2 linked regions of the Xenopus tropicalis genome follow. Each later gene encodes a partner of the first gene's protein in a complex. Links are inferred from orthologs where the notes say so. Each region holds a gene or a part of one and is shown on either strand. Other genes may lie near its edges. The genes, in order: prkaa1 and prkab1.

What was found.
Region 2: the proteins of prkaa1 (region 1) and prkab1 are in contact, whole or in part, in a crystal structure (PDB 6C9H), measured with the Homo sapiens proteins. The link is inferred for Xenopus tropicalis from reciprocal best matches to the Homo sapiens genes PRKAA1 and PRKAB1. Residues at the interface, in NP_006242.5 of Homo sapiens: Gly20, Val22, Lys23, Ile24, Thr32, Lys40, Lys42, Asn59, Arg60, Ile63, Arg64, Val69, Ile72, Arg73, Ile76, Gln77, Val93, Ser95, Thr96, Pro97, Ser98, Asp99, Ile100, Phe101, Met145, Met175, Ser176, Asp177, Gly178, Glu179; in NP_006244.2 of Homo sapiens: Pro79, Val81, Arg83, Leu103, Pro104, Thr106, Val113, Ile115, Asp159, Phe160, Glu161, Val162, Phe163, Ala165, Leu166, Met167, Val168, Asp169, Ser170, Gln171, Arg201, Ala202, Pro203, Pro204, Ile205, Leu206, Pro207, Pro208, His209, Leu210.

What each region holds. Positions count from the first base shown.
Region 1 is NC_030677.2:195,921,157-195,924,194, forward strand, and holds part of prkaa1 (5'-AMP-activated protein kinase catalytic subunit alpha-1), read left to right. Parts: intron 1-558; coding exon 559-783; intron 784-1,444; coding exon 1,445-1,934; intron 1,935-2,845; coding exon 2,846-2,972; intron 2,973-3,038. UniProt on the Homo sapiens protein: Catalytic subunit of AMP-activated protein kinase (AMPK), an energy sensor protein kinase that plays a key role in regulating cellular energy metabolism.
Region 2 is NC_030677.2:151,374,905-151,379,469, forward strand, and holds the start of prkab1 (5'-AMP-activated protein kinase subunit beta-1), read left to right. Parts: upstream 1-1,716; 5' UTR 1,717-1,812; coding exon 1,813-1,956; intron 1,957-4,565. UniProt on the Homo sapiens protein: Non-catalytic subunit of AMP-activated protein kinase (AMPK), an energy sensor protein kinase that plays a key role in regulating cellular energy metabolism.

The sequences.
Region 1 (3,038 bases):
GACGGGCACTGTAGCAGCAGTATCCGCCTGTTAGAAATGAATCTCTGAATCACCTAAGTAAGCAAACTCCTTATCGTTTATTGGTCTGTTCCTTTGGGCAGTGTGTATGGCATTTGGAGTGTGTTTGCGGGTAGGATTCAGGAACATGGTGAAAACCTCTTTTTATTGGCTATAATGTATATGTAATGTTTGTTTTGGTTTTTTTTGTACTGTGCCTGGGCATAAAACATGCAGGACAACTGGGCCTTTTTTTTTAAATGTAAACTTCAGAAAATAAATGTTTTTTTTTCTTTTTCTGGCCCTGTGGAATCCCTGGAGGCACTGGGGTTTTTATTGAAGTCTCTGAAAATTCTAACTTGTAAAGAGTTTCCCTCTATTCTAGCTATCTTGGCCAGAATGAGCTATGGTTGGAATGGTGCCTAAACTCCAGTTGTCCCCAAAAGGGCTCATCTGCCAACAGACCCAGGCCCACCACAGCTAACCCATTGCCGCCACCTTCCTACTCAGTAAGTCAGATTGTACTAAATAGGCATTGAACCTCTCCATGTGTTGTTGCAGGCTTTATGCTGGCCCAGAGGTGGACATATGGAGCTGCGGGGTCATCCTGTATGCGTTACTCTGTGGAACTCTCCCTTTTGATGATGATCATGTGCCAACACTTTTTAAGAAGATATGTGATGGCATCTTCTACACACCCCAGTACCTGAACCCTCCCGTCATTAGCCTTCTAAAGCACATGCTGCTGGTGGATCCCATGAAAAGGGCAACCATCAAAGATATTCGGTAAGTTCTTGAACTGTTAAAAACCACTTAAAGGTATGCTGTCATGATGTTGTTAAATTACACTTATTTACATGGCAAATAATTCACTATACCATTTAAAGGAGAAGGAAAGGCAAAAGTCACTTAAATCGCCCACCTTTTACCCCGGGCTGGTGCCCCTGCTCGGAGAGAACAGCAACAGCCCGGGGCAGGTGCAGCGCTTCCTCCTTCCTTTTCGCTTGCGCGCGCATGCTCAGTAGGGTGAATAGTGGAACTTTAACAGAGAAGTCGGCTTTTTACTCTAATGCACATGCTCCGGGAATTTGCCAGCAAAACGAAGGAGGAAGCGCTCGCTACAGGTACCCCGGGCTGGTGCTGTTTTCTCCAAACAGGGACACCAGCCGGGGGTACAAGGTAAGCGATTAAAGTCACTTGGGGGTGCCTAACATTTTGGAACCCCAAGTGATTTGCCTTTTATTGTGCCTGAGTCTGAGCTTTCAGAAGGAGCCAGTGCTCCATGTTAGAACTGCTTTCAGGTAACCTATTGTTTCTCCTACTCCCATGTAAATAGAGGAGTCCCAAGCCGGAGTCTATGCTTAACGGTGCATTACTGTAAAACAAAAGTAAAAAACTAGATTTATTTAATATTCTTGTATTCCTAAACTGATACTCTGCCTCTTAGGGAACATGAATGGTTCAAGCTAGATCTTCCTAAATATCTGTTTCCCGAGGATCCATCGTACAGTTCCAATATGATAGACGACGAAGCCTTAAAAGAAGTGTGTGAGAAGTGCGAGTGCTTGGAGGAGGAAGTGCTGAGCTGCTTGTACAGTCGCAACCACCAGGACCCGTTGGCAGTCGCCTACCATCTGATCATAGATAATCGCCGCATAATGAATGAGGCCAAAGACTTCTATTTGGCTACCAGCCCTCCGGATTCCTTTATGGAAGAGCCTCAAGTTGCTCGGCCTCACCCAGAGAGAGTTCCCTTTTTAGTGGCCGAGTCACCCCGGCAACGACACACTCTCGATGAGTTAAACCCACAAAAGACCAAACACCAGGTTGGTGTGAGAAGAGCCAAATGGCATTTAGGCATTCGAAGTCAGAGCCGCCCAAACGATATCATGGCAGAGGTTTGCCGAGCAATGAAACAGCTGGGCTATGAGTGGAAGGTAAGCTCTTGCACTTGGGTTTCTTTCTGCAAGCTTTTACTAACACTGTAAGGGAAGAGGTGCCGTGGGCCCAGTGTCGGACTGGGAACCCAGGGGCCCATTGGAAAACCTAAGACCATGGGCCCAATCTCTGAACAGTTTTTCCTCCTTTTCTCAATAAACCACTTTATTCTCCTAGTCTCTCTTATTTACATGCTAGCATCTATTCTTCCATCTATTTCTCCTCTTTGTTCCCATTCAGAAATAGGTAATGACCATGAAACAGGCCAAATGACCAGAAGCAGGAGGGCCCACTGACCCCTGGGCCCACCGGGAGTTTTCCTGGTATGCTGGTGGGCCAGTCCAACACTGCGTGGGCCCCCATTCATGGGATGGATAAGTCCATTTAAAGGAACAGTAACTCGAAAAAAATGATAGTGTTTTAAAGTAATTATAATAAAGTGTACCTCTGCCCTGCACAGCTAGAATGGGTGTGTTAGCTTCAGAATCACTACTATAATATATATAAGCAAGCTGCTGTGTAGCAATGGAGGCAATTGAAATAGGGATTAATGGTGCAGGTTAATTAGCAGGTTACAGATTAGGTCTGTGAAATATAATATAGTGTTCTACAGAGCTTATCTGCTATATAACATGAGCCTTTTCCCCTATGAATGGCTACCTTCATAGCTACACAGCAGCTTATGTATATAAACTATAGAAGTGTTTCTGTAGCAAACACTCCCATGTTACCAGTGTTGGGGCAACAGTACAATATATTTTATAATTACATTAAACCACTTATTTTTTGGTGTTACTGTTCCTTTAAGTCTGTAGCGACAGATTCATAACTGCATTGATCCATGTGCAAGGGACTACATTTGATCCATGTGCAAGAGACTAATTTCCCTTATTATTTTTCCCATATTGAGGTTGTAAATCCATACTACCTGCGCGTAAGAAGGAAGAATCCCGTTACTAGCATGTACACTAAGATGAGCCTCCAGCTGTACCAAGTGGATAGCAGAACTTACCTGCTGGATTTCCGCAGCATTGACGGTATGTGACATTTCTGTGCTACTTTCGGAATAGTAATGCCAAATGTTTGGCTGCTGATGCCTTTTA
Region 2 (4,565 bases), about 45 Mb from region 1:
TTTAATGCATGAGACCATTTATTAATGCTTCTCTATTTACTCCATTCTTTAACTCATCTGTAACAATGAAAACATGTGGCCTGCTAAACAAAACCTTTTATCAAGCCACAAAGCAGCAGTGTATATTATTTTAGAAATATCACAAGGTGTCACTGCTTGACAGCAAATGCAGTATAGAAAAACATTACCAGCATAGAAAACATTACCAAAATGTTCCTGCCATAGGTTGAGTTAAATACAGTGTCAGTCTAGTACTAATCTGCAAACTAAGATTTCATGATGGGGCTCTATGTATATATGTATTTATTATATTCAAACATTATGCCAGTGTAATTAAGCCTTAGTACCTAGATAAATTCCATGCCCTAAGGTTACAAAACTAAAAATTAATAAAAAAAATAAACAAAAAGCAAATAAAATATGAAGACCAGGTACAAATTGCATTAGAAGTTAGTTATCTGTACCAAGTTTTTTGCGGGACAGTCCCTCTTTTGACAGCTCAACCCGCAGTCCTGGATTCTTACTGAAAAGTCCCTCGTTTCCCTTTGATCTACTGCACCGAAGCTAAAAATGATACAAATTTAATTAAAAAATGACTTTTGACAAAGAGCCCAGAAAAGTAAAAAGCCCCCCCACCCTGCACTGAGATACCATTGAAACTAATAAGCTAAACAGGTCTCTTGGGGGAACTGAGACTTGCTGCTTAAAGGGCAACTTCACCTTTTTCAGCAAAACTGTAATAATACATAAAAATAGACCCCAAAACCCCCAGAAATGTGTTAACTTTGAATAGTAAAATGGGCATGCCAAATGTAATAAAATGGGAGTGGTATTTAGGGGGTGTGGTTGCAAAAATGGGTGTGTTCAAAAAGATTTGCCGCACTGTGAGCAGTGTCCCTCTTTCTGGTCTCAAGATGTTGGGAGGTATGCTAATGTGGCAAATCTATTGGCAGTAAAATGCCAAAAAGAGACCCAGACTCCAGACTCCTCGTTTTAAAAGGGAACTACTTCCCCCCCAGGCAACTTTTAAGCCTTTGATACAGTGCTACACTAACTCCACCTCCCCCACAGCCCCAAATGTATCTGATCATCTAATCACCTGTACAAGTATCAGATCCAGGAGCATGTGCATGGTCTACTACTGGCCCAGTGTGCATGTTACTGTTAGTTATAAGTTAGAAAACCAAAAATGTGCAAATGTGCAGGCACTAGCCCTGCTACACAGCTTTGCACCCCAGGAGCTGCTATGGAAGTACAGATACATTTGGCAGTGGCACTGTTGGTGTCATGAAGTCTTTCTTACTTTTCTCCTACAACTGTTTAAACTGTAGTTTTAGTTTAATTATTATTAATAATAATAATAATCATTTGACATTATGCAGTAACCCATAGCAACCAATAAGATTTTTGTTTTTAAACAGGCTACTTGCTGGTTGATTGCTATATGCAATTAATTAGATATAGTGCAGCTTTTTACTACCCAACCTCTCAATCTCATAGCAGTGTCAATATTCTTATAACCCTTTTTAATATTGTATACTTTTCCTACATCTGCAAACAACGACCCCAGTAGAGGAATTCCAATTCCAACTATACGCAGATATTAATTGGCACCTATCCCTTTATTGTCACTGATATCACTGACAGATAGCTGGAAAAGGAGTAATGGAAAAAAACAGATCGAACGTCATGTGCGACAACGAGTCTTTGAACGCAATATCGTCACATCCGCAGCAGGAAGCGGAAGCGGCGTGATAAACAAAGTCCTTTCTGGAGGTTTAAAGAGCGATACCTGCTCGTAAAGTGTGGAATATGGGGAACACAAGCAGTGAACGTCCCGGTCCCCACAAGGTGCGAAGAGATAGCACCGGAGCAGTGTCGAAAGGGGATGACAGAGCCAAAATACTGATGGACAGTCCTGAGGATGCGGATATGTTCCCTGCGGAGGAGAGTAAGGTAGAGAAGCGGCTCGTCCTGCAGCCATGTCCCTGCGAAACATCGTCCTGGATTAGTACAGGACAAGTTTAGGCTTAGTCCGACCTATGTCAGATCAACAAGTTTTCACTCATAAAGTGACCATGATACAATCTTTTAATACTAAAGTGTAATTGCTTCCTACACCAGCCTGTTGCTATTGGTTCTGTCACCCAGTATCTTGTCTCTCTTCTTGTCCACATAAATGGCAAAAGGAAATTCAAAAAGAGTTGCACAGTACCGCCCAGCAGTGGTGAAAAGGGTACATCACAGTAGTGATATTCTCTTCTCTGATTGGGGCAAATTTGTATAAACACAGGGCCAATTTGCACCGTGGCAACCAGTAAGAATTCTACTTTCAGACTTGAAAAATAAAATTGCTGATTAGTTGCTATGGGTTACTGCCCATGTGCAAATCTCCCCATTGACTTTAAATGAGCCCCATTATGTCTTAGAGAGTTATAAGGCAGATCATTAACAAGTAATGCTCTGGGAACTGGGTTGAGTTGCATATGCCCCAGGCCCTCAGAAAGGGTTAATAGCCAGGAGCAGAAAAGTTGAGCAAGCATCATGTGAACAGGTGTAGTAAAAGCAACAAGTCATGTATGTAAAATGTGTATATGCACAGGCTGAGAAATAGCTCCTCTGCTGGCTGCACCCAGTGGCACCGCTGACCTGGCTGTAGATGCATGGTGCATTTAGGCGTTACATGAATACATGAGTATACATTTCCAGTGACCTGTCTTTCTCCTGAGACAAGAGGTCCTCTGCGCTCACCCAGTATTCAAATATAAATATATATGATGGACATTAGGACATTATGTGCATTAAACTATTAAATAATGTCCTCTTCTTAAAGAAAAAACAGGAATTGTTTGACTGTATATTCCAGGTAAAGATACCTCCTGTATGAATCTTGTGTTTACAGCCTCATTGCACGCCCAATAAATGTTTTAAAATTTAGTGGTGAACACAACTTTCCCTTTTTTCCTCTGTGTCTCCACGCACTGTAGTCTTGCTGCTGCTGGTACTACTAAAAAACATTTTCTGTAGAGAATGAATAGTATATGGGTGTGTAACAACACACTAAGTACTAAGTCCACTGCATGAATTAAGAGCGGGTGGAGGTGTAACCAAACTACATAAACCAATAATAAACAATCCAGTATTTGTCCATCCTTGGCAGAGAAGTTTTACTGTCTGCACCCAACACTTCATCAAGTAAATTGGGGATTCTGTGTAGCACCTTTATTTAACCATCATGTCCCCACACTATAGGCTTTCATTGAATTCTTTAACCAGACATTGCTATTCTGTTTCTTAGTTGCTTAGTAAAATGAAGAGAGGTTGATGGGTAACATTAGAATGGGGTAAGGCTTCTTCTTTGGTAGCTCAGTGGTTAGCTATGCAGCCTGGCCTCTCAGAGTTCCTGAGTTTGATTCCGACATGGGCGGGTGCTCCAGTTTCTTTATACAGTCAGGTTAATGTGCTCCTGGTGACATTGAACCTGCTGGGTGTAAAAGTGGTAGGAAAGTTAGATTGTAAGCTCCAGTGGAGCAGGAACTGACGTGAGCAATTAGCAAGCTATGTAAAGCTTTGTGTAAATGTGTCAGTGCTATGTAAGTAAAAGATAAAATAAAAATGAATGGTGATTGCCTGCAGCTTGGGACTATGTGGTGTAGAGAAAGTAAATAACGGAGAGCAGCTATCTGATAGGGGACAAGATGCTGATAAAGACTGAGCTGGAACTGGTATTTTACAGAACTACTTTTCTTGGTTACATATTTATATTAACTTTAACCAGAAATTCTTAACCCATGTGTGCCCATTGATTTTTAGCAAGGATCAGCATGATGTCAGAGATTTTCCATGAGGTTCAGTATACATGCCTTGTGCAGCTGCCTATAGGGCCTTCTCATGGATATTCATCAGCCGAAGCAGAGGCACAAGTTCATGGCCTTTTATTAAGTAGATGTACTGTATAAATCATTTGCCCTGGGTACAGTGTAGAAAGTTGATAGTGCCTTAATTCATGCAATAAATGTCAAAACCATATTTAGTGGGTATTACGGACTTGAATAGTGATCATTGGGAGAAATGTTAAGTAAATACATAAATATGGGCATGGCTGTATCAGTTGGTTTATTCTGCTGAAGACTTTATTATAGACCAAAAGTATTTAGGTTTGTTCCCATAGATCACAGTGAGCATGTACTGCAGGAATAGAAACAACCTTTACTCATATTTGTCAGTCAAGTGGTATTTCAGTACTCCTGTTAATTGAGGATATTAGAGTCTTATAGAGACACATGGTTCCTTAGTGCTTCTCTGAGCATATCTGATATTTCATTTAATTCCCAGCTGTTTTCTAGATATTTATATAATCTTTAGCTCGGCTCCATGTGACTGTCTGCCACTGCACCCCAGGCAAACTCCTGCAGCTCTGCACAACTATCTATGTCTGTAAGGATTATGCGATCCTTGCCTCAACTTGTTTGAACCTGCCTCAATGTTTTAACCTGCCCGATTTTAAGCCAGATATTGGTTAGTGAGGCCCATACACAGGCAGATAAGTTGCTGGCTCAGTCTGA